7 linked regions of the Callithrix jacchus genome follow. The protein of the gene in region 1 interacts with the protein of each later gene in a pairwise test. Links are inferred from orthologs where the notes say so. Each region holds a gene or a part of one and is shown in the gene's direction. Other genes may lie near its edges. The genes, in order: RBPMS, FOXS1, OTX1, FOXP3, RDH12, DVL2 and ARID5A.

Region 1 (3,500 bases):
TTTTTCTCTAGTGAGAGGCTATTAAGGTGACTCAAATTTGGTCAACACCATTTTCTGTGTCTCTATATAGGCTCAAGGTTGAAATCTTTTTAGGGGAAAACAGTTTTTGTCATTTTGGGCTGCAGCTGCCCCTTAAGTAGGCAGCTGTGGTCAGAGGAATAAAGGCGCAGAACACAGACATTGGCCCCTGAGTACCCTTCCCAAAGAAGAAGGCTTAGAGGGCAGTAGCCATCTCACCCAGCTTCTCTTCGTGGGCCGCTCTAATGGTGCGATGTCTGATCTGTTCCGGTCTCTTCACTGAGTCTGTCTAATTTCTACACCTCTAGAGTTACCGCCAACCACTGTGATTCTCAAATGTGCTCCCTGCACAAGCAGCATCAGCATTACCCTGACTTGTTTCAAATGCAAGTTCTTAGGTTCCATCTCAGAGCTACTGAATCAGAAACTCTAGCAAGTCCTCCAAGTTGATTCTGCTAACATTTGAGGATCACAGATCTACTATATAAAGGTGATCATATTATCCTCCCATTTAAAAACCCTAATGGCTCAGCCACACACGCACTCCAAAGTCCTCACTCACAGCATAAGAGGTCCCATAAGAGGTCCTTTGTGATTTCACCCTAGCCTGTTTGTTCTGCCACCCCACCCCACTTTCTGCATCCTGTTACTGAGAAATTTGCTGAGCTCTTTCCTGAACTGCACCTGGTAAACTTTTACTCTTCCATCACTTCCTCTGGTGCCTTCCCTGGCTCCCTGGCATGAAACTGCCCTGGTATACTCTTAAGTATACTGGACTAACAAAAATACATTGTTTCTAAGCAGTGTCCTTTATCTCTCAGAGTTTGTCCTGGGTGGGGAATTCAGTCTCTGTAGATTATATGGAACCTGGGTCAGTTGATGAGACTGTTGGCTGTCCCTGTAGCCAGTCAGATTGAGGTGCTTGTAAGTAACTGTTTATTTGCAAATTAATATATTGATACTCAGAAACTGTCCTTTCTGGTCCATGTAATAAATAGGACACCATTTACATATTGTTACGAGAAGAGTAGTGGATTATGAGCAAGAAAGGAAAAGGTTGGTTTTGAAAGACACAGGTTCACCCTTTCACTTGCCAGTAATCTTATCCTGACAGCATGTAATGTTAAGTAACTGCAGCCAGAGAAGAATCTTAGTAGGCTTTAATTAAAAACACAAGGAATGTTTTTTCTTTTGTCTCTTCTTCCTGTCTGCCTTTCTTTCATCTTTTCTTTCTTCTCTTATTCATTTCCGTGTTCTCCCTTCTCCTGCCCCTCTCTCTCTCCTCTTCATCAACTCATAACACTTAAAATGTTTTTGGCTTGGCTAATCCCTATGGATGGAAACTTAGCTGAGCAGGATATTGATTACCAAATATGGTATTGCTGCTAAAGATGTTAGAGGAATGTGGCTTGTATTCTGAGCCTCTGGCCTCTGAATAAGCTGCCAAACAAATTAGGTCATTTTAACTTCTGAGCTTTTTTTTTTTTTTAATAAGGATGCTGGAACTTTGATTTGGAACACTATGTTGATGTTATTTTAGCTCAGATGGGAGGAAGGGGGTAAAAAGAAGGGGACAGGGAGTGAGGGAAACTTAGTTCAGCCTGTTTTAGGACTTGAGCCACCAGCCCAGGTTGTGTAAGAGACAAGTACATTATGCGGAGCTTCAGTTGATTCTGGAACACCAGTGAAAGAGCTGAGGCATGGAATTCGCATGTGCAGCCTTGTTTTCTGAGGCTAGACACTCTAGAGGACCACGATCGGGTCCCAGGATACTCCATGTTATCCCCAGTGGCCTGGGCCACATGATTCATGGTCATGCGAGCTCAGATTTAGGAAGTGTCTTCTTCACAGGAAGGTTGGTCAAGTTTAGTGCCAAGGGAGTATGCCCTGAAGTTGATGGGAAGTTGCTATTATGTGTATCTGATGGAGTGTGGTGCAAATGAGCAAGTCCTTCCACAGCATACCTGTACATGACACCCAAGGACTGTGCTTGTCTCCCAGCAAAGACCACAGTTCTGCAGGTCCATTCTTGGAAAGATGTATTCTGTGGTGTTACTAGCTTTGTTAGGGTGGAAGTTGGTCCATCTCAGTGAGGTCCTTTGTGACTTCCCCCAGCCTGCTTCAGAATGCAGCTTTGTTTTTTGGTTTTGTTTTTTCTTGTATACTTTTTCGGCAAAATAATATTGAGGTTTCCCAAATTTAAAAAGAAAAAAACGCATACTACCAACACCAATTTAAGAAAATTTGTTTTTATGTTTCACAAAATGGACACTGTCTTTTTTGCTTTTTGGTGCTGATTAGGTATGCACAAGGGTATTCTCCCCAACCCTTTTGCTATGGCCCTCAGTGCTCATGAAGAAATCCCACCCACTCCAGGACTTCTGGATCAGGGCTCTGTGGCTTTTGTTAGGCCTTTCTAAGGACCTCTTTTTCCTTCCCCTTGCCCACTTATTTCCTCTTGATGCCATTACCATCCAGCCACAGGCTCTTCCTTGTATGTTGAAGCTGAGTCTGTGAAGTTCAGAGTTGTTCATCCTGGTCTCTGGAGTAAGAGAGTCTTATTTTTGTGGATATTGCTCTTACTTTTCTTGAAGCTCATTAAGAAGAACGGTGGGGGGCAGGGGATGCTTTGGAGCCCACAGGCCTTTTTGTGTACATTCAGAACACTAGATGGCAACTGTGTTAATAGGAGACTCATTTTCAGGACTCCAATCCCTTTCTATGGTGATATAATCATGGGAGCTGAGTGGGTCCCATGGGTGCACATTTAAAATGCAGTCTATTTTGGATATCTTTCTGATGCGTAGGGTCCAGAATTCATGTTATTGGATGCTTAATAATGAAGGTATTCTTGAATGGTGGAATGGTTCCAGTTAGACTTCTCTTGCCCTAACTTGTCCTTCACAGTGTTTGTGATTTATTTTACTAAATATGATGTTTTAGATAAACTTTCAGGAATAGAGTCAAAGGTAACTTAAATTCCTGTACATTAAGATGTGTAACTGTGCTAGGAATTTGCTGGTTCAAATTTTAAACTGGAAACCTTTTGTCTAAAAGGTGGGTATTGAAAATCTGTGTAACTAAATTTTTTAAGTAAACTAAATCCCACTGACTTTTGGGATTCTTTGTGTTGTCGTTTTTCATGTGACCTGTGTAAGTAGTAAGAATGACCTTTTTTCCTGATAGACCAGGTTTACTGGTGTTTATTTTGTCACCATTCTGGTTTGACTAAAGAAATGAAAACATCTTCCATTTGTTCTTTATTTCCAAAGGGCATCCGCTTTGATCCTGAAATCCCGCAAACACTGCGACTAGAGTTTGCTAAGGCAAACACGAAGATGGCCAAGAATAAACTCGTAGGGACTCCAAACCCCAGTACTCCTCTGCCCAACACTGTACCTCAATTCATTGCCAGAGAGCCATGTAAGTCAATCTACTTTTCATTTAGAAATAATAACAACTAAGAATTGTTCATGTGTTGC
Region 2 (2,982 bases), on another chromosome or scaffold:
ATAGCTGTCCTTCCCAGACCAGTCACTAGGGGGCGACAGGGGCTCAGCAGAACTGAATTTCGTGGACTCTCCTTATTACCATCCTAGGTGCCCCTCCCTGCACACACCCCAGAGCTAGGAGGTGGGGTAGGAGTGCTGTGGCCCCAAGGGCTCTGCCCCACAGGAGAAGGCAGTAGACCACAGGCCTGGGAGGAGGAGAGGGAAAAGCGGGAGTAGAGGTAGAGATCAGAGAGGCCCCTGGGGCTTTTCTCACTCTAGGGAGACGGGGCTCAGGCCCTGCCTCTCCTCCTCTCTCTCTATTCACTCCTTTCACTCCTTGTGTTTGCACCTGTGTCTCATTGTGTCTCCTTTCTCTCTGGCTCTGTGGATTTCCTCGATTCTGCCTGCTCAGTGATTCTCACTTTCTCTGTTTAATACATGTGTGTGCTTGTGTGTCTGTGTGTGTGTTTGTGTATATCTGGGTGTCTGTGTGTCTGTGCTTGTGTGTATGTCTATGTGTGTGTGTCTGTGTGTCTATGTGTGTTTGTGTCTGTATGTCTGTCTCTGTGTGTTTCTGTGTGTGTGTATGTCTGTGTGTGTTTGTGTCTGTGTGTGTCTGTGCTTGTGTGTATGTCTATGTGTGTGTCTGTGTGTTTGTCTGTGTCTGTATGTGTGTCTGCATGTCTGTGTGTGTCTGTGTGTCTGCGTGTCTGTGTGTGTGTGTCTGTGTATGTGTCTCTGTGTGTGTCTGTGTCAGTGTGTGTGTGTGTGAGAGCCTCTGTGTCTCTGTTCGTTGTATCTGCCTCGTCTTATCTTTGTCTCTTCCTCTCTTTCTCCCTCCTCTCTCTGTCTCTGTCTCTCTTTTTTCCCTGTCTCTGTTTCATACATTTCTGCCTGTCTCATTTTGGTTTTGTCTCTGGCGTGCTCAGTTTCACATCCTGTCCCTCCCCAGCCACCACCTCCCAGCACACGTGGGCTGAGGGTCTCAGTCCCTTCTTTCCCACCTCCTCGTCCCTGGCAGCTGCTTGGCCTCCCACTACTGGCCTCTCCTGCCCGCCTCTCTTGGCCCTTGAGGGAGTGGGGCGAGGGAGGAGGGGAGGACAGCTCAGCAGACCCACCCCTTTTTGCCTTTCCAGGCTGGGAGGCTGGGCCAGTGGACCTTTTAACCAGCCCGGGCAGGCTGTTTTTGACGCCAGCCCTGGACACGGAGCCTGACCCGCCAGGTCCCGGCAGCCCGGCCAACACAGCCAGCATGCAGCAGCAGCAGCCCCCGCCCGGACCCCAGGCCCCTGCGGCCGAGTCGACCAAGCCTCCCTACAGCTACATCGCCCTTATTGCTATGGCCATCCAGAGCTCACCGGGGCAGCGGGCCACCCTTAGTGGCATCTACCGCTACATCATGGGCCGCTTTGCCTTCTACCGCCACAACCGGCCCGGCTGGCAGAACAGCATCCGCCACAACCTGTCACTCAACGAGTGCTTTGTCAAGGTGCCCCGCGATGACCGCAAGCCAGGCAAGGGCAGCTACTGGACGCTGGACCCTGACTGCCACGACATGTTTGAGCACGGCAGCTTCCTACGCCGCCGCCGCCGCTTCACCCGGCGGACAGGTGCGGAGGGCACCAGGGGCCCTACTAAGCCACGCCGTGGACCCCTCAGGGCGACCAGCCAGGACCCAGGAGGCCCCAACACCACAACCGCCAGGCAGTGCTCATTCCTGCCAGAGCTGCCAGACCACAAGGGCCTAAGCTTTGGGGGTCTGGTGGGGGCCATGCCAGCCAGTATGTGCCCAGCAACCGCTGATGCCAGGCCTCGGCCACCCATGGAGCCCAAAGAGATTTCCACGCCCAAGCCTACAGGCCCAGGGGAGCTCCTTGTGGCCACCGCATCTTCCTCATGCCCAGCATTTGGCTTTCCTGCTGGCTTCTCTGAGGCTGAGGGTTTTAACAAGGTCCCTACACCTGCCTTGTCCCCAGAGGCAGGCATCGAGAGCAGCTACCAGTGCCGGCTGCAGGCGCTGAATTTTTGCATGGGGACTGACCCAGGCCTTGAGCACCTCTTGGCCTCAGCAGCCCCCTCCCCTGCACCACCCACCCCTCCAGCCTCACTCCGAGCCCCACTGCCCCTGCCAGCTGACCCCAAGGAACCCTGGGTTGCAGGTGGCTTCACTGTCCAGGGAGGCTCCGGCTACCCACTGGGGCTGACCCCCTGCCTATACCGGACGCCAGGAATGTTCTTCTTTGAGTAAAGGCAGCCTCGCCTCGGGCAGTCCCTGCAGGGCCCTTGCCAACTACACCCTCTGGGCTGAGCCTGGCTCTAGGATCTGGAGAACTCTCGAAGTCCCCAGCCCTGGCGAGACAAGGACAACCAGGATGAAAATCCAGGATGGAAGCGGTGCTCAGCCAGGCCCCTGAGGCCTCCGGACAAACTTGGGGGTGAGGGGAAGCAGGACCCCTTGGGACTTACTCTGTGGCTCTCAGGGCCAATAAAGCCATGTGATCATGAGGGTCAGCTTGCCTGGTGGCTGAGGACCAGGGTGCCTGGTTGTATGTGGGGTGGCTGTGGCTGGTAAGTTGTGTATTCGGGGCAGAGCCCCCGGGTAGCAATGTCTCACATGAGGTTTTTCTCCTGCTGGGGACTTTCTCAGGGAGTTTCCCAGAAAGGGAGAGGAAGGGGAGGCAGAGAACAAGGGCAGAGAGAGAAGGATACAGGCAAGGGAGAGACTGGGCAGGGGCAAGGCTGGGCTGGCCTGAGCAACCTATTCTCCCGTCTCAGACGCTGGGACTCAACAGCCCCCATAGGAGCAGTCATCATAACTCTGATAATTTGTGACACTGATCCTGTCCTGGGCTTGTATATATCATCTCACCTGTGTGATATGGAACGCTGGCCCCGTTTACAATGGTGGAAACAGGCTCACCAGCTCCAACTCCGGATGGCAAATGAGTGGCAGAGAGGATATCAAAGCCACATCTGTGTGGCTGTACCCTCCAGCCTCTGACC
Region 3 (3,987 bases), on another chromosome or scaffold:
ACTTTTTACTACTCCTGTCGGGGTGAGGGAGTAGGAGATTAGAAACAAGGGGTAGAAATTCCTCGAAAGGTAATAAAGTGCCTAATTTTCAGGAGGAGGTGCCATTTAAAAGATTCGCCTTACTCGGAGTTGGGACGAAAACACTTTTTTTGCACTTTGAAAAGTCCACCCAGGTAGACGCGTTTGGGAAGTTTGTTCGGCTAGGAAATGGGCTTCACATATACGAACAATCCGGGGAAATCGCCTCAAGGAGGCTCCTTACGCAGCATGTGGAAAAAAAGTTGAGGGCAGGGGTCTGTGGCCACATTTTTCATCTAAAAGTCCCTGTTAGAGGGAGACTAGGAAAGACAGAGTGTGAAAAAGAAAGTTTCCTAGCAAAATGTTTGAATTAAGAAATAGGGTGTGTGTGTGAGGGGAAGAGGACGCTGGGTTCCAATGTTTCAGAAGAAGCGCTTAAGACTTGTAAACACCCTTGGTGGGGACTGGGAACCCCGGGAGAGGCCGACGAGCAGGTAAGTGGCGGCGCCCTTCCAGTGGGTGCTCTTCTCAGGCGCGGGAGTCCCGAGGCGCCGAAGAGAGATCTGCGCGCCCGGAGCTGCTCCCGCGCTCTGCAAAGTAGCCTGTGCTGGCACGAGCCGCCCGCGGCGTCGGTCTCAGGTGGCGGCGCAGAGGAAGGAAACGTTGGGGCCCGCGGCGCCGGGAGAGGGGCAGACGCCCGGGCTCTTCTAGTCCGCCGCCCCCGAGTCCTGGCGCCCACATCCGGGCGGCAGAGCCTGGTAGTGCCTCGGAGAGCGAAGGAACCGGTTCTCCAGCACCTCGCGCTCTCCGAGCCACTCCCTCCAGAGCGCCTAAAGCGCGAGAGAAGGGCCGGGGGGCCCAGGGCAGGCTTGGGGACCCGCGGTCCCCTCAGCGGCCAGGACTCCGGCTCTCCGCTCGCCTTCCTCGGCTAGCTCTGCGCCGCTTTTGCCAGCCGAGTTAGCGCGCGACCGGGGCGGGGCGGGCGGGCGGGCGGGGAAGGCGGGGAGTGGGGGGCGGGGGAGGGCGGGGGCGCGCGGAGGTAACCCCCGGCTCGCGCTGCCATTGCCCGGCTCCCTGTCACTCAGCCCGCGCGGGGCCCCCGATTGGCGGCCTAGCCCCGTTACGCACTCGCCTCGCGTTCACATACCCGGGGAGGGCAGTAGAAAGGTGATCAATCTTCATCAGGCTACATTTCCAATCACCTAAACAACCGAGCAAGACAAGCCACTCCGACAAGGTAAATCGCTTGATTTATTTAGTTTGCAAAGTGACTGTGCAGGACTTCCCAGTCCCCACTGCCTCCACGTTGTATCGGGAGTGCCGCGGCAACGCCGAGCCACCTCCCAACTCTGCCACTCGAATTACCCCCCTTGCGGCCCCTCGGCGCGATTCCCGGTCAGGCAATGTCCTGAGAACGCGTGGGGCTTAGCAAACAAAGTGTCTGTGCAATAAAGTGAAACCCTTAGGGACACGCACAAAGCCACTGGAAAAAAAGATAGACGTGGGAGGAAAGAAGTTGAGAAAAGAAAGAAACCGGGGGTCCTAGACCAGCCGCCGGGGTAATTCCTGTGCCGCTCTGTTTTGCAGGTTGGCTGCCCGGCGGGTCTCTGTGAGGGATCCAGGTAGATGGTGAACGGCCCCGGCAGCTGAGGGCAGGTAAGGAGAAAGCCGCGGGGCCACCCGGGACTCCGGGAGCGCGTTGGTTACCCTTACCTCCCCCTCCTCAAATGGATCCTCGCTTCCCGGAGCCCCAGCAGGTGGGCGGGGCTGGGGGAGCGGCCTGACTCCCCTCTGGGTGCGCGGAGGACCCCGGGGCGCTGTCGCGGCCCGCCGCCCCCTCCCCCGCCTCCTCCGAAGTAACCGAGCTGAAGTGCTAAGTTTGGAGAAAGTCTTTGAAAACTCAGGCTGCAGCCTCGCAGAGCCGTCGCAGCTTTGAGTCCCATTTTCCTTTGGCCTAAGAGCCCTGGCTGCTTCCCTTCTCGTTCCCTCCCTACAAGCTGGACTCCTCCTCTGGCCTTGGGTCCGAGAGGACGGGGGCAGGAACGGGGCTGGGGGGAGCTTCTTTAACTCCAACTTCTCTCCCTAAACGTCCTAACCCGAGTCCCTGGCCTGCTTCACAGCGATCCCGCAAAGCGGGGTGTAGCGACGGCCCCCTAGAACCCCAGGCCCACTTTCCAGTGCCCCTCCCTGACCCTTGAGAGTGGCGCCTGGGTTCTCGGCAGCAGCGGGGGCAAGGCTTCGACCTCCCAGCTCGGGTCTGCGTGGGCTCTGCCGCTGAGGCCTAGTTCTCTGTTCTCAACAGTGTCCTGGGGCCTCGGGTTCAGCTACTAGGATGGCAGCATGCAACTTGCTGCCCTCTGGCTTCGCAAATCTCAGAGACCCTTTAAGGTGCTGGGCCCCAGCCTTCACCCCCTGCTGGGACCATGTGGTCAGAAGCCCAGACTGGGCAGAGAGAAGGACGGGTGCGCGCTGGCAACGAAGGGCGATGGCCGCAGCTGAGGCGCTCCTGACCTCAGGCCGCGTCTTGGGATCGCCCCCTCTACAGTGTTCCCTTCAGCGTCCTCTGGCCCTCTGCGGCCTGGGCCCGTTGCTGCGGTTGAAGTGTGGTGTGATTCCGCGTCAGCGATTTTTCAGTGGTTGGGCATAGAGAAGTTAGCTGGAATGGTTATTGTGGGCTCTGGGGCAGGGACGCAGCCCTGGACGCGTTAGAAGAAACCAAGTGTCTAGGTGCATAAGAGGTTGAGGTGCAGTTAGTCCTCCACATTGCCTCACCTTGGCCCTTCATAGTCTCTACCTTTTCAAAAACACTGAAACAAAACGAAACAACCCTGCATGCTCTGGGCGCCCTGCCCCGGGCACCAAGTGAACTTTTGTTTGTGCAACATGAAGCCGGCTTCTGCCGGACTCAGAATTTTGCCTGGACTTGGGAGGTTGTACATTCTGTGTTTCCAGCTCTACCTCCCAGCCTGGCCCTGCTTTTAACTTCTTACTCTATGGACTCCCTACCAGTATCTTTGGCCCATTCCGAGCCTAGAGCTAGAGGACCTAGAAAACTTTACTTTTCAAAGCAACTGTGGTTTCTGGGCTAAGTCCTTGTGGAGGCTAGTTGACCACCCTGCGGAGTTCTGTAACCTGCCTTCCCTGTCTATCCCCGGACAAGACTTGAAAGCCAAGTGCCTCCGACTGATGGTTTCCGTGTGTATCGTGTCTCCATAGGCCAGGCCCCCAGACGCATCAGAGCCTGAAGGACTGCGCAGTGGGAGCCCTGCACCGCTCCTGGCCCCGGGCCCCCTGGATCTGTCGGGGCGCCTCCACCCAGCTGTTAGCATGATGTCTTACCTCAAACAACCCCCATACGGCATGAATGGGCTGGGCCTGGCCGGGCCTGCCATGGACCTTCTGCACCCCTCCGTGGGCTATCCGGGTGAGCACCGGCCTTCCGGCCCCTGCCCAAGACTCTCAAATGTTGGGGACCCTCAGACTGTTGGGTTTGAGTGTAAGCTTTGTTGCCGAGCAGGCCCAGGGAGCCGATTGCCTAATCTGTTTACAGTACAGGGCCCACTGTCGGCGCACTGAGCAGACTCGTGGGCGCATGAGGTGGCCAGGGCTGAGAAAACGCCCAACGTGCGCCTTCCCGGCCGGGTCACCGACAACCTTTCTCCTGTTGTGGTCCCATCGCCAGCGCAGAGCGCATTTACCCGCGGATTTGCTAGTAAGGGGCGGCTGATGATTTTCCTTTTCTCCCAACATGGAATGAGTAATCTGGACACTCGTTAGGCCCTGACCGAAGGAGCCAAACTTTCCTTATGTGAAACGGCAGGTGGACTGAAAAAGGAAGATTCTTTCTCTCGAATTAAATTGTCCTCTAAATCAATGTCCTGCACCCATTTTTGCACTGCTGTAGAGGACGACTTGAGTCAAACCCCGGTTTCTTTTTTAGCTCCCACTCGTTTACACCATTTATTTTCT
Region 4 (3,022 bases), on another chromosome or scaffold:
TAACTGCTTTGCCCTGCTACTCCTCATGCCAACATGCCAGCCTTATTCCATGTCTCCAAAGTTCCAGTTCTTCCAGATGGCTGCTGCTGCCTCCTCTCAGTTCCTCCACCTCTCCCTCCCTCTCCCTCTCCTTCTCCCCCCACTGTCTCACACTCACACACACACACACACCCCACTCTCCCTCTCCCTCTCTCTCTCTCACATACACACACACATACCCCACACACTATGCACAATCCTTAGCAGCAACTCGAATGTCCTGTCCTCCTTGTAGCCAGGCTTTGCATAGGCCGTCCCTTCCACTCAGTGTCTTACCCACTCTCACCTGCCTCGCCCCATCTCAGCTCACCACACTTCCAACATTACCTCCAGCACCCTGGCCAGGTGGTAAGCTCAGCCCTGACATGCAGTAGGTGCCAAGTGGCACATGTTGAGGGAATGAGGGGTGTGAGAGGGAAACTGATGTAGAAAGGGGAGGGGAGCTGGAGCTAAGAGGAGAGACCTCCCAGAGGGCCTGCCCCCCCACCCATTCAGAGCGTTGAGCCAGGCCAGCCTTGTCATGGTCACCTGCATGGAATCTTCTCCCTACTTAGGCACTGCCAGGAGGACCATCTTCTGGATGAAAAGGGCAGGGCGCAATGTCTCCTCCAGAGAGAGATGGTACAGTCTCTGGAGCAACAGGTAATTCTGGGGCAGTGGGGGATAGGGGACAGGGGATAGGGAATAGGGATAGTGGGGAAAACCTTCTGTCCATCACCTGCCAGAAACCAAGTTCACCCGGGACGCGGGCTAGTATAAAGGAAGGAAGAAGAGCGGGCACTCCCATTGAAGACCATAGCCTGGGCAAAGATGTGGCAGAGAAAGGCCAGGCTGAGGCCTCATGTTTGTGCCATTTCACAGCTGGTGCTGGAGAAGGAGAAGCTGAGTGCTATGCAGGCCCACCTGGCCGGGAAAATGGCAGTGCCCAAGGCTCCATCTGTGGTGAGCAACCCCAGGCCTGCTGGTGGCAGACTCAGACTGCTGGGGGGCAGGGAGGAGGCCTGCAGGGTGCAGGGAACCTAACCTCACATGCAGGCCCTGAGAGCTAGGGGCCCCTGTCCCCAGCTCCAAACATGCCGGGACCTGGAAATCTATCCCCCTCCACTTGCAAACCCTCTGACCCTAAGATTCCCAAACACTGTGATCCTGAGTTGTCAAAGCAAATGCAAATAGCCAAAGACACAGGCTGTGTGCCAGCAGGACCAGCTATGTAACCTACAGGCCCCTTGTTCAGATTTCAACATGGCAACCACAGAGCATTAAACAAAGCACAGGGTGTCACATAACCACACAGGTCACATGCGCATGAAGCCGCCCTGGGGGCCAGGCACTGTTTCTGAGTGCTTTGCTGGTGGTAATTTATTTCTCAGGATGTCAATATAGAGATTAGGAAAATTGAGGCCAGGGAGGTTTAGGTGACTTTCCCAAGGTCACAGTTGGGTGGCAAAAACCCCTATTCAACCCCAGCTCATGGTCCCAGCATCTGTGGCCACATATGGTGTCTGCACCTGTGCTCTAATAAATACGACTCATGCTGTTTTGTGGGATTCCACCCCAGACTGGAATTAAGAAGAGGGCGTCCTTGTTTTGAAAAACACTGTTTTAAAAATAAAGTAGGGGCAGACGAAGTAGCTCACGTCTGTAATCCCAGGACTTTGGGAGGCTGAGATGGGTGGATCAACTGAGGCTAGGAGTTCGAGACCAGCCTGGCCAAAATGGTGAAACCGCAGCTCTACTAAAAATACAAAAATCAGACAGATGTGGTGGTGGGTGCCTGTAATCCCAGCTACTCGGGAGGCTGGGGCAGGAGAATCGCTTGAAACTGGGAGGCGGAGGTTGCAGTGAGCTGAGATCACACCACCGCACTCCAGCCTGGGCAATCAGAGCAAGGAAAAAAAAATTAAAAAGTGGGAAGTTTAAGCCTTTGGGTCACCAGCCTCTTCCCCTCCCAGGCATCATCTGACAAGGCCTCCTGCTGCATTGTAGCTGCTGGCAGCCAAGGCAGCATGGTCCCAGCCTGGTCTGGCCCCCGGGAGGCCCCCGACAGCCTGTTTGCTGTGCGGAGGCACCTGTGGGGCAGCCATGGAAACAGCACATTCCCAGGTAAGAATGGTCCTTGCACTACACAGTGTCCCCAAGCTCCTAATCCTGACCGGCTCTGGGAGGAGGGTGCAAAGGAGCTCCATACTGCCTCTTCCCACCACCACCACCACAGCTACCACCACTCAGCCTTTGGGAAAATGCATCCGCTCACAAAAGCTTCCTCTCAGGATGTCCGTGACCTAAAAGCCCCGTATAGTCTCAAGTGTCCTGCCATAGCCCTGTCTCCGTTGGGGATTGGGGTCATGCGTCACCCACTCTGAACTCCAGCTACTCCATTCAGTCATCAGAAGGGAGGGCCCTGCTAAGGAATTACAGGGACACCTCCTTTCCTCCCCTGACTAAGGAAAATGGGATGGATTCACCTAAGCTCACCAATCCACTGCTCTCCACCAGGCCTGGCCTCTGGGCTTAGCAGGGATCAGAGACCTTGACTGGCATCCCAGCTCTGCCATTTAACCTCTTGCATCCCTTTGGTGTGCAAGTTACTCCGCTTCTTTTCAACCTCAGGGAGAACTACTTTGGCAGAAGTGGTGCAAAGAATAAATTAAACAACTTATGTCAGGTGCTCAGCAGACAGTACCTGTGCCCGTGGACACGGGTGTTGATGGTGGGATCTCAGGCCTGTAGACTCACCTTGTAGGGGGAGGGGAGAGGGAGCTAGCTAGGGGGTCCTACATGGGGCCTGATTCATCCCCACCCTCTGCCAGAGTTCCTCCACAACATGGACTACTTCAAGTTCCACAACATGCGACCCCCTTTCACCTATGCCACGCTCATCCGCTGGGTAAGCAGAGCAGCTCAGCCCCAAGGAGGAGGAAGAGAAAGACGGGGTGGGGGACCTGCCTCCTGAACTCCTGTCTCTCTCTGAGTGCCCTCAGAG
Region 5 (3,500 bases), on another chromosome or scaffold:
ACCTTCTGTGGCCATAGGCATAAGATGAAGTTGTGCTGCTGGCATGTTCTTCTGGATCTTGGAAAATGACCAGATTCTTCCAAGGACTATGAAATCCATGAGGGACATCCTGGAACCATGTCTGTCTTGTGTTACCACTGGATTCCTAGTGCCCAGCAGAGTGCACCTGGCCCAGAGTCGGTAGTTAGTACACATTTGCTAAATAAATGAAGGAACAATGTCCAGGAAGATATAAGTAACTAAAATTACTCATTAGAAACCCAATGACAATGCTTATTGGATGTCACTGAGATAGGTCCAAATGGAGGATAGTTATTGACTGCTGAGGCAACACCTTGTCTTAGAAGGAAGGGGCAGAGCAAGTGACTCCTATCAAAATTTTACTCCAGTAAAGACAACTGGAGGCAAGGAACAATTTTGCAGGAGTGTGACAGGCAGCCAGGGGACTCCTCACTTACCACAGGATCTCATTGGTTGTGCCCTATAGAGGAAAAGCAGCTCCATGTTCTGATCAACAATGCGGGAGTGATGATGTGTCCATATTCCAAGACAGCTGATGGCTTTGAAACCCACCTGGGAGTCAACCACCTGGGTAAGTATCTTTGGGTGACTAAAAAATGAGGCACATCTGCTTTGTTTTCTTTAGGAAGATGACCCTGTGTAAATGTGGAGAATGTCCCGGTGCCCTCATAGAGCCTAGGAATTCCAATAGACTACACACATTGACGTGTTGTTCACTGTCCTTCTCCTGATCAGTCTAATAAAGTGAGATCCTCCTACCCATACCATTAAGAGGCTGCAAATTTCAGGAAATACCAAGGAGAGGAATGTCATTCTTGGATGGGAAGTGGCAGTACAAGGCTTGCCAGGCAGGGCCAGGACTGGAGATATGCAGGGATCTGGGCTTGACTGAAGAGGTCACATCTTTCTGAGGGCCAACCAAGCCATTGGCTAGTCCATGGAGGTAGGCCATCCTTGAGAACTTGAGGTATGAGGCAGGCTGGGGTGCAGAGTTCAAGGTGAAGACTTTAGGGAGGAGAGCATGGAACATGTTTTCTGATCCTAAGTTAATGTTATTTTCCCTGACTGTTCCATCTTTCTGTCTATACACAAGTGTACCTGGGTCCCTAGTTATGCTATCATGGCCAGATGGGGAGTTAAAAGCCAGCAGGTTGGTCAAGGGCAGAAGTACAAAGTAATATTGATTAAGTATGATTGCCTTACTTGTAGTCTAGCTCTGGCTCTTGCTTTGAGGAATCCACAAACTCAGACCAAACTGACCATTAGTGTTACTCATGGCATCAAAATTGGTTCACACCCAGAAGGAAGTGAGCTGACACTGAAGTCTTCTCAGTTCCCACACGCTGAGCCCGGGCTGCCATTCCACCTTCAATCTCCCCTGCTGGCTCTCTTCACAGGCCACTTCCTCCTCACCTACCTGCTCCTGGAGCGGCTAAAGGTGTCTGCCCCTGCACGGGTGGTGAACGTGTCCTCGGTGGTTCATCACGTTGGCAATATTCACTTCCATGACCTCCAGAGTGAGAAGCGCTACAGCAGGAGTTTTGCCTATTGCCACAGCAAGCTGGCCAATGTGCTTTTTACTCGTGAGCTGGCCAAGAGACTCCAAGGTAAGTCTGGAGAAAGGGTCAGGATTAAAATAGCAAAAACGGGGGAGGGATAGCCTGGGGAGAAATGCCAAATGTGGGTGAAGGGGAGAAGAAAAGCAAAGCACACTGCCATGTGTGTACCTACGCAACTGTCTTGCATGCTCTGCTCATGTACCCCAAAACCTATAATCCAATAAAAAATTAAAAAAAATAAAATAAAATAAAATAGCAAAAACGGTCCTCAGACCAGATTAGAGGTCCACAGAAACTTGTGAAGTCAGGCTGTCAAACATGCATGTGTCAGCAATAGTTCTGTGCATTAAGGAGAATTATAAATGGAATAAAAACAGAGTCCTTGCCCACAGAAAGCTTAAAATCAAATAGGGGTTAAGAACCTCATGAAGTTACCTTACATTTATGTCACATCTTATCTCTTATCTCATTTGATTTTCACAATAGCTTTTTGCAACAGACAGAGGCTTTTTGTTTGTTTTGTTTTGTTTTGTTCGAGACTGAGTTTCACTCTTGTCGCCCAGGCTGGTGTGCAGTAGTGCGATCTTGGCTCACTGCAACCTCTGCCTCTTGGGTTCAACCGATTCTCCTGCCTCAGCCTCCTGAGTAGCTGGGATTACAGGCACATGACACTACACCTGGTTAATTTTAGTAGAGATGGGCTTTCACTATGTTGTCCAGGTTGGTCTCAAACTCCTGACCTCAGGTGATCTGGCGGCAGAGGAGTTTTGTAACAGGTATTATTACTACTAGTTTATAGAGAAGAACTGAGGTCCAAGGAAATGGCCTACTAAAGAGAATATGGCAGGTGAGGGCGTCAGAACTGGAACATGGGTGCTTGGCTTTAAACCTAGGGTGCTTCCATCTGGGTGTCATTTGCTGAGGTCCACACTGTGATCTGAGTTACAGAGCTGCCACTGCCTGGACTCAGGGAGTTGGGGCTGGATTTCAGACCCCTGGGTCCAAGATCTTGCCCTACCACATGCTAGCCCCAGGTGGATGTGGACGAGTTCCTTTAACCTCCCCTGACTTCATCTTCTCAGCTGTAAAATCAGGTCAGGTCAGTTCTTATTCCTTAATGATTCTGTGCTCCCCTGGAGCACTGGGTGAGCTGGTGGCTCTGACATATGTGGATCTAGGGGACCATTTATTACAGTGGATAAATCAGAGTTTGGGAACATTGCCAAGGTAGTAGAAGATGGTAATCATAAAAAAATTATGACAATAATTGAGAGGTTTATGTGTGCCATGCACTACACATCTTAATTAATTTAATACTTTCAACATTCCTGTGAGGTGGGTGCTATCATTTCCCCCCACTCTACAGATGAAAAGACAGGCACTGGTAGATTAAGAAATTTGCCCAAGGAAGGTTCCTAGCTGAGCCAGGATTTAAATACAGACAGTCCAGGTCTAGATTCCATATTCTTAACTTTACATTATTGATCAGACCTTGGGCCTGCAGCCTGCCAGGTATAACCTTAGGCAATTTATTTAAACTTTCTGTGACTTAGTTTCCTTAGCTGTTAATGGGCATCATAATATTCTACTTCACAAGCCTCTTTAAGAATTAAATGAGAGAATACATTTAAAACGTTACACAGCGCTTGCACATAATAGGTACTGAAAAATAGTGATGGCACCAGGGATGTCTTAGGGGGTTTGTTAATCCCCCATAATCTGCATCACTATCCCTCAATCTATACCTCATAAAATGTGCTTGCCAGGCAAATCAGCTCAAAATAAGGTCTTACCCACCACCTTCCAATCAGATTGCTATCCTTAAACTCCTTCTGTAGAAATGGTAAAGATACCACTGTCAATAATTGATACTACTCACTACATGTTGTCATGTTTATTAGTAGTACTAAAGCCACAGTA
Region 6 (3,500 bases), on another chromosome or scaffold:
CATCTCCATTGTGGGCCAAAGCAATGAGCGGGGAGATGGAGGCATCTACATTGGTTCCATCATGAAGGGTGGGGCCGTGGCAGCCGATGGGCGCATTGAGCCAGGGGACATGCTTTTGCAGGTGTGTTGGGGCAGGGCCATTGAGCTGCCCTGTGTGGGGGCCCTCATACTCTCCCAGCCGGCTTCTGACCCCCTTCCCCTCGCTTCCAGGTGAATGACATGAACTTTGAGAACATGAGCAATGATGACGCCGTGCGGGTGCTGAGGGACATTGTGCACAAGCCTGGGTGAGTTGCTGAGCAGGCTGCAGGTCGTCAGTCTTTTTTTTTTCCCCCTTTAACTTTTTGTTTTGCAATTTTAATAAGTGGTAAGACAATCAGGCCCAATAGCTCACCCCTGTAATCTCAGTACTTTGGGAGGCTGAGGTGGGTGGATCACCTGAGGTCGGGAGTTTAAGACCAGCCTGGCCAACATGGTGAAACCCCAACTCCACTAAAAACAGAAAAATGGCCAGGTGCAGTGGCTCGCACCTGTAATCCCAGTACTTTGGAAGGACAAAGCGGGCGGATCACCTGAGGTCAGGAGTTCGAGACCAACCTGACCAACATAGAGAAACCCTCTCTCTTCTAAAAAATATAAAATTAGTTGGGTGTGGTTGCATATGCCTGTAATCCCAGCTACTCGGGAGGCTGAAGCAGGAGAATCGCTTGAACCTGGGAGGTGGAGGTTGCGGTGAGCCAAGATTGTATCATTGTACTCCAGCCTGGGCAACAGAAGTGAAAACTCCATTTAAAAAAAAAAATATTAGCTGGGTATAGTGGTGCTCCCCTGTAGTCCCAGCTAGTGGGGAGTGAGAAAGGAGAATTGCTTGAACTCTGGGGCAGGGGCAGAGGTTGCCGTGAACTGCCATGCCACTGTACTTTAGCATGGGCAACAGAGCAAGACTCTGAAGAAAAAAAAGGGGGAGTAAGACATAACACTCAAAGTACATGAAACAAATTCGTGATGTAGCAAATAATACTAGAGCGAATACTCATGTCGCCACCACCTAGACCATCAAATAGAGATTGCTGACACCCTAGATCCCCCTCCACAGACCCCCCTTCCTGCTCCCCAATGCCTCACCCCCCAGGGCTAGTCACTCTGCTGACTTCCCGGGTCATCACCACAACAAAGAAAAGCTTTACCTCCCTCCATAGTTACCACCCTTGCATGTATCCTTGAACAGCGCGGTTTTACCTGTCTTTGGACTTTCTTTGAATGGAATTGTACAGCGTGTACTCTCGTCTCACTTGGCAGTATGTTTTTAAGAGTTTCCATGTTGATGAGTCATTCACATTGTGGTGCCTTCCACCCTCACCTTCCCTAGCCCAGCTGAGACATGCTGGCTTCTCCCCATCTTTGTGTCTCTTAATTCATCCTTGCTTCAGCGCCCCCCCACCCCAGGCCTCTTCTTCCCCTGAGCCCTTGACTGGTCTTCTCTTCCCCATAGCCCCATCGTGCTGACTGTGGCCAAGTGCTGGGATCCCTCTCCTCAGGCCTACTTCACCCTCCCCCGAAGTGAGTGACACTCAGGGAGGGGCCTGAAGTTGGTGGTGGGGGTGGCTGGGGCTGGCCTCTGATTATGGGGAATGTGTGGAGGAAGGTCCAGGCAGAGGTAGAACGGGAGGCTGAGTCAGGGAGGGACTGGGCTGGCTTTTGGGGACTGAGAAGGGGTCATTTTGGTACCATCTTTGTCCCAGATGAGCCCATCCAGCCAATTGACCCTGCTGCCTGGGTGTCCCACTCCGCGGCTCTGACTGGCACCTTCCCAGCCTACCCAGGCTCCTCCTCCATGAGCACCATTACATCAGGATCCTCTTTGCCTGATGGTGAGCTGCCAGCCTACCTCATTTCACCCTCCTGCCAGAGGGCTGCCCCGAAGTGGTGTGACCCATGGCCCTTGTGGGAGTGACCCTGCCTCTTGATGCCCCATTGTCTCCTCCACCAGGCTGTGAGGGCCGGGGTCTCTCCATCCACACAGACATGGCATCGGTCACTAAGGCCATGGCAGCTCCAGAGTCTGGGCTGGAAGTCCGGGACCGCATGTGGCTCAAGATCACCATCCCTAATGCCTTCCTGGGTATGGCTGGGTCCTGGGCAGGTGGCTGGAGAAGGGGAGGAGGAGGTGACCGAAGCTGGGAACAGCACAGGCAGAGGTGAGAGCAGGAGTTGGAAGGAGAACCTGAGCCCTTTTTCCACTGTGGGTGCCCCCAGGCTCAGATGTGGTTGACTGGCTCTACCATCATGTGGAGGGCTTTCCAGAGCGGCGGGAGGCCCGAAAATATGCCAGTGGACTGCTCAAAGCTGGCCTGATTCGACACACTGTCAACAAGATCACCTTCTCTGAGCAGTGCTATTACATCTTCGGAGACCTCAGTGGTGGCTGTGAGAGCTGTGAGTCCCCCTGCCCTGACTCTGGGAGTGTGGCTCTGCCTGCCTTGTTCTGCCTCTCCAACCCTAGACCTAGCCCAGAAACCGCAGCCAGGGCCACCATGGATGGTTGAGCAGCATGTGTCCCGAACTAGGTCCTGCACTGGCCAAGGATGGGGGCTGACGTCCACCCATGCGCTGCTGGACAAACCACGCCAGGTGCAGGACTGTCCACCGGGGGAAGGTGCACCTCTTTCTGAGTCCCGCAGAGGCATGGGCTAGTGGTGGCCCTGGCTGTGTCCTGCCCTCATGGCAGAAGTAGATGGGAGTTTCCTGTCAGAGGCCCTTGTGAACCCGTTTTGAGCCCCATCGTGGGTGGGTCTGGGAGAACTGTTCCAGTTCCTCTCATTCAGTGTCTTAGGGCCCTAGTCTCTTTGAAGCAGTGATTTACTCTCTTCCCTTGCTTTCCAGACCTAGTTAACCTGTCTCTCAATGACAACGATGGCTCCAGTGGGGCTTCAGACCAGGACACCCTGGCCCCTCTGCCTGGGGCTGCCCCCTGGCCCTTGCTGCCCACTTTCTCCTACCAGTACCCAGCCCCACATCCCTACAGCCCGCAGCCCCCACCCTACCATGAGCTTTCATCTTATACCTATGGTGGGGGCAGTGCCAGCAGCCAGCACAGTGAGGGTAAGTCACCCCCAGATACCTAATAAGCCAGGTCTGAGGGTGGATCAGAGGGGAGCCAGGGAGGAGCCTGGGTGAGGACTCAGTTGCCCCTCCCCTCCCCTCCCTCCACAGGCAGCCGGAGCAGTGGGTCGACACGAAGTGATGGGGGGGCAGGGCGCACAGGGAGGCCTGAGGAGCGGGCCCCCGAGTCCAAATCCGGCAGTGGCAGCGAGTCTGAGCCCTCCAGCCGAGGGGGCAGCCTTCGGTGGGGTGGGGAACCAAGTGGGACTGGCGATGGGGGCCCTCCTTCCTCCAGAGGCTCAAGTGGGGGTGCCCCTAATCTCCGAGCCCACCCGGGGCTCCATCCCTATGGACCACCCCCTGGCATGGCCCTCCCCTACAACCCCATGATGGTGGTC
Region 7 (4,109 bases), on another chromosome or scaffold:
ATCTTCCAGCCCAGGGCCAAAGGATAAGGGTCAGAATTTCAGGTTCACCAAACTACATCCCTGGTCCGCTCCTTTAGTGTAAGGAGGAGCACCAGCATGACGAGTGGTCAGTAATGGGTGCAAAGGGAGTCGGGGGGATGCCTGGGTCTAGCTCTGGCTCCAACACCTGCCTGCTGAGTTACTTAAGTTAATCTATCAGACCTCAGTTCTACCCTATAAAATGAGGACCTACCAGCTGTGTTACTTGAGCTAATCTAGCAGACCTCAGTTTTACCCTATAAAATGAGGACAGTGATGGTGTCAAGTGCATAGAGCGTATTAAAATTCATCAACAAAGATTTTTGTGTAGCTTCTACACAAAATCTACACAGGGAACCCTGTCCCTGCTAGGAACAGGGTTCATGTCCTAACTAGCCACCTGCTAAGACTGAAACCCTGACCCACTGTTTCCTCCACTTTGGCCCCCACAGGTCCAAGTTACTGCTATGTCTGGCTGGGCACCTCCTCCTGCCTCCATTCACCCTAGGCCTCATTCCCACCTCCCACAGCCTGAACTCATGCCCTCTCTTTGGACTGCTCAGCTTGTAGCTTCCACTCTGCATTAGGTATGTGGACATTGACTATTACTGGCGGGCCTAGCCACAGAGCCTAGGCCAAGGATTTACTAGTTTGGTCCTTGTCTAACTCACACTAACCACCTCTCCTGTTTGTTGTTGTTTTGAGTTTGTTTGTTTTTGAGGCAGGGTCTCCATCTGTTGCTCAGGATAGAGTGCAGTGGTGTGATCAAAACTCACTGCAGCCTCTACCTTCTGGGCTCAAGTGAGCCGCCCGCCTCTGCCTCCGCCTCCCAAAGCGAAGGGATTCCAGGCGTGAGCCGCTGCTCCGGGCCTCACCTGGCCCTCTATGTTGGGCTGGGTGGGAAGTGGGAAATGCACAGGGTCACTTTCAAATCAAAGTCAAAAGCACTTTGCTTACTCCACAGTAAGCAAAACTTACTGTGTAGACCTCAGTGCTCTACTGAAAGCAAGGAGGATTTATCCAAACTCTAGTTTTGCCTCCGGGAAAACTGAGGCACAAGGCAGCAATGATTCCTGGGAGTCCTGCCTCTGCCCCTCTAGGAAAGGAGCCTATTCTAGGGGCCCTACTCGGAAGGGAGGGCGCGCACCACAACTCCCAGAGGTCCCTGGGCTCCGGGGGCGGTCCCGGTACGAAGGAGCCGGGCCCACCAATGGGAGCCCACAGTGGGGCGGGGCGGGGCGGGGCTGCGGGGAGGCGACCGGCCGGCGGCACCGTGAGCCAGTAGCTACAGGAGCGTCGAGTCCGTACGGCTACGCGCTGAGGGTCTCTGGGCGGGCGCCGCCGGACCTCGCCGGGCCATGGGTAAGTGGCTCTGCGGACGGCCCAGGATCTGCAGGGAGGGCCAAGGCGGTGGCGCCGGGTCCCCCCAATCCTCGTCGCCGTCGGTGGCGCCGTGGGGGGCGGAGAGGGGCGCGGGTCCCGGGGAGCAAGCCTGGCCCATAGTTTCAACGCCCCCCGGCCGGCGGGGAAAGGGTGAGTCTGGGCGTCCGCTCGCGCTTCGAGAAAAGGAAAGACAAAAAGTTTCGGCGGCCAGGGGCTTCCCGGGCGTTTATCTCGAAACTCTTTTCGCCGACTCCTGCCTGAAATGTGCCTAGCCCGGTACGTCTCTGTAGTCCCACTTCCTGCTGCGGTTTCCACCTCGAGCTGGGCTCAGCTAATTTGTTGTGACAGCTGTCGGCAGCCACCCCTCCGCCCCGTGACATCCCGCGGGTTTTAGAACCGCGGCGCCGCGGGGCACAGGAGCCGGGTCTAGGGCGCGCGGCGCTTTCCTCTGCGGCCGCCGTTTCCTGAAAGGGGCTGAGCGGGTGTGAAGAACTTGCTCAATGCGCTTTGAAGGCTCGACTGTTCCTCTTTCGGCCGCGGGCTGCGCCGATGGTCCGGGGCGCCCGGCTTCTCGCCCCCTGTCCTTTCTCTCTTTTCCTCTCGGGTCTCTCCGCGCACCCATCGCAGCCCCGCAGGAGAGGGGTCGCTTCCCTGGTTGCTCTCCTCTCCTGTCCCGAGTGTGTCCCCTTCCCTTCCCTTGGTCTGAGAAGGGACGGGCTGGCGGCCGGGGAGCTCAGGGAGAAGAGGGCAGGAGCGCAGGCTTCGAGCGTGCGGGAGATTCCTGGCTTCGCGCTCGGCCCGAGCTGCGGGGCAACCCGGGACCGCACACAGTCACTCAGCGGTGTCCAGGAGTCGCCTGGGCCAGGGTCGCGTCACCCTCCACTCCGCGCCGGCGTGGTAGGGCTTTCGGGATGAAGGACTCCCGAGGACCCAGGGGGTCCCGAGGCACTGCGGGGCCAGTGCCCCTTTGTTTGCAGAGTCTTGGGCCAGCAAGGAGGGCTCTGCGGGCACCAAGGGAGGACAACAGGTGCCTCGCCCCACCCAGGCCTCGTTGGTGGAAGCCCACACGCATGGTGGCGTCTTTGTGACTACAGGCAACGCTAGAGCACAGGAGGAGTGGGAAATGGGGGCTCGAGGGCTTCACCCCACAGCAGAGCTCAGAGCCCAACCTAGGCCGTAGGGACCCGCCTGGGGCCTAGAACTTGACGCGGCAGAGACGGAAAGGGCCTCCGAGAATCTGCCTCTACAGTTGGGAGACATCTTGGAGAAGTCACCTGGCACCTCTGAGCTTCTGCCCCCCGTAGGTGCAATGGGAACACACGAAACCTGCGGAGTTCTCACTGTCAGTCACCACCAAACGTGGCCGAGACTCGGTGGGGCGGGACAGTGAGGGTTGAGCCCCATCCTGGAATAGGGGCTTTTAGGACATCCCAGAGCCCGGTAAGAGGGACAGGGAGAGTGGGGCTTGGAAGTTGGTAGCCTCACATTCAGTGTCCCGCGCACCCTCTTCCCTTTCTTTACCCTCTGGTGGCTCCTGTGACCTCAGCTGCCCCCAGACCCTGTCTCTCTCTCCCTCCCTCAAGCTGAGGTACTGAGGCTGGGCTGTGGCTTGAGCTGCACCTGTGCCCTGGTGGGGATGGGGGTGGGCCCAGGTCCATCGCGTTTCTCCTCATTGCTGGCTTCAGCTCAGCCCTTGGCAGGCCTCCCCTCCCCAAACTGCCAGAGCAAGCTCCGCGGAGACTTGGCCTGCCGCCCCTCCCCAGCCGCCGAGTGGACCCGCCGCTTCTCGGCTTCAAAGGCTGTCTTTGTTTCGCTCCAGCTCAAGCTCGGAGAAACTTAAGCCAACAACCTCAGCCGAGGGGGTGGGGCGGAGTCTGCCGGTTGTTATTGAGGCTGCTGTTACCATTATTGTGGTAATTGACGCAGTGTTCCCAGTCCGTGACTTTTCATGAAAGGAAGTGTCACTTCCTTCCCATCACACCCTGGGTGAGTGGGGCGGGCAGCAGAAAGTGGGGAGGGAAAGATAGAAGGAAAGAGGTGTGTGCCTCCAGCAGACCCTTAAGCTTGAGAGCTGTGTCACCGTGGACTACTTAGTCACTGCCCCTCTCTGGGCAACAGGAGTCTGTAAGTCCAGTGCGCTCATCCTGCTGCACCCAGGAGGCTGATGTTTCCGGAGCACCGGCTCGGCAGTGAGGCGCCTTGGGGAGGGAGCAGGACAGGCAGACTGTGGTTTGTGGGGGAAGCCTCCTTTCTCTTCTCGGTTTCTTCTGCTGAGAACATTGGGTGCTTTGAGTCTAGCATGCCCATCTTGTAGATGGGGAAACTGAGATACAGAGCAGTGACCAACTTGATGAGAAGTGCAGCCATGAGTTGCTAGAGCCCCTTGGCCTATCTGTCCTCTTGGTCTACTCTCATCTGCTTCCAGCCTGATGTCGGCCAGGGCAGGGGACCAGCTGACTTCCCCACATCCACCCACTGCCCAGTCCCATAGCTACCTTCTAGTCCTGGCTAAGCCTCCTGAGACATTTAAGTTTGTCTTCAGTGACTTTTGCCCACTGCCCCCCACCCCCACTGCCTTCACCTTCCTGCCTTTGCATATTTCCCCTTTGCCAGGTTGGCTGAGCCCTGGCTAGAGCTGGCCCCCTACTCTCTCAGGTAACAGGTAGTTTTTTAAAATGAATCTCAGTAGGTATCAACAGGTCTTTCTT

What was found.
Region 2: the proteins of RBPMS (region 1) and FOXS1 interact in a two-hybrid assay, tested with the Homo sapiens proteins (2 studies listed by BioGRID and IntAct). The link is inferred for Callithrix jacchus from reciprocal best matches to the Homo sapiens genes RBPMS and FOXS1.
Region 3: the proteins of RBPMS (region 1) and OTX1 interact in binary tests that used the Homo sapiens proteins (3 or more experiments, as listed by UniProt). The two-hybrid records come from large-scale screens. The link is inferred for Callithrix jacchus from reciprocal best matches to the Homo sapiens genes RBPMS and OTX1.
Region 4: the proteins of RBPMS (region 1) and FOXP3 interact in binary tests that used the Homo sapiens proteins (3 or more experiments, as listed by UniProt). The link is inferred for Callithrix jacchus from reciprocal best matches to the Homo sapiens genes RBPMS and FOXP3.
Region 5: the proteins of RBPMS (region 1) and RDH12 interact in binary tests that used the Homo sapiens proteins (3 or more experiments, as listed by UniProt). The two-hybrid records come from large-scale screens. The link is inferred for Callithrix jacchus from reciprocal best matches to the Homo sapiens genes RBPMS and RDH12.
Region 6: the proteins of RBPMS (region 1) and DVL2 interact in a two-hybrid assay, tested with the Homo sapiens proteins (2 studies listed by BioGRID and IntAct). The two-hybrid records come from large-scale screens. The link is inferred for Callithrix jacchus from reciprocal best matches to the Homo sapiens genes RBPMS and DVL2.
Region 7: the proteins of RBPMS (region 1) and ARID5A interact in binary tests that used the Homo sapiens proteins (3 or more experiments, as listed by UniProt). The two-hybrid records come from large-scale screens. The link is inferred for Callithrix jacchus from reciprocal best matches to the Homo sapiens genes RBPMS and ARID5A.

Annotation. Positions count from the first base shown.
Region 1 is NC_133514.1:31,650,394-31,653,893, forward strand, and holds part of RBPMS (RNA-binding protein with multiple splicing), read left to right. Parts: intron 1-3,290; coding exon 3,291-3,441; intron 3,442-3,500.
Region 2 is NC_133506.1:7,351,260-7,354,241, forward strand, and holds FOXS1 (forkhead box protein S1), read left to right. Parts: upstream 1-1,167; 5' UTR 1,168-1,231; coding exon 1,232-2,227; 3' UTR 2,228-2,482; downstream 2,483-2,982. UniProt on the Homo sapiens protein: Transcriptional repressor that suppresses transcription from the FASLG, FOXO3 and FOXO4 promoters. May have a role in the organization of the testicular vasculature.
Region 3 is NC_133515.1:51,066,383-51,070,369, reverse strand, and holds the start of OTX1 (homeobox protein OTX1), read left to right. Parts: upstream 1-1,187; 5' UTR 1,188-1,255; intron 1,256-1,605; 5' UTR 1,606-1,674; intron 1,675-3,234; 5' UTR 3,235-3,345; coding exon 3,346-3,442; intron 3,443-3,987. UniProt on the Homo sapiens protein: Probably plays a role in the development of the brain and the sense organs. Can bind to the BCD target sequence (BTS): 5'-TCTAATCCC-3'.
Region 4 is NC_133524.1:49,792,928-49,795,949, reverse strand, and holds part of FOXP3 (forkhead box protein P3), read left to right. Parts: intron 1-593; coding exon 594-681; intron 682-900; coding exon 901-981; intron 982-1,991; coding exon 1,992-2,142; intron 2,143-2,849; coding exon 2,850-2,926; intron 2,927-3,022. UniProt on the Homo sapiens protein: Transcriptional regulator which is crucial for the development and inhibitory function of regulatory T-cells (Treg).
Region 5 is NC_133509.1:102,737,844-102,741,343, forward strand, and holds part of RDH12 (retinol dehydrogenase 12), read left to right. Parts: intron 1-487; coding exon 488-592; intron 593-1,418; coding exon 1,419-1,628; intron 1,629-3,500. UniProt on the Homo sapiens protein: Retinoids dehydrogenase/reductase with a clear preference for NADP. Displays high activity towards 9-cis, 11-cis and all-trans-retinal. Shows very weak activity towards 13-cis-retinol.
Region 6 is NC_133506.1:73,717,465-73,720,964, reverse strand, and holds part of DVL2 (segment polarity protein dishevelled homolog DVL-2), read left to right. Parts: coding exon 1-121; intron 122-210; coding exon 211-287; intron 288-1,492; coding exon 1,493-1,560; intron 1,561-1,742; coding exon 1,743-1,871; intron 1,872-1,990; coding exon 1,991-2,122; intron 2,123-2,256; coding exon 2,257-2,436; intron 2,437-2,883; coding exon 2,884-3,102; intron 3,103-3,213; coding exon 3,214-3,500.
Region 7 is NC_133515.1:6,485,628-6,489,736, forward strand, and holds the start of ARID5A (AT-rich interactive domain-containing protein 5A), read left to right. Parts: upstream 1-1,309; 5' UTR 1,310-1,376; coding exon 1,377-1,380; exon of another isoform or gene 1,381-1,901; coding exon of another isoform or gene 1,902-1,981; intron 1,982-1,982; coding exon of another isoform or gene 1,983-2,104; intron 2,105-2,106; coding exon of another isoform or gene 2,107-2,434; intron 2,435-2,435; coding exon of another isoform or gene 2,436-2,505; exon of another isoform or gene 2,506-4,109. UniProt on the Homo sapiens protein: DNA-binding protein that may regulate transcription and act as a repressor by binding to AT-rich stretches in the promoter region of target genes.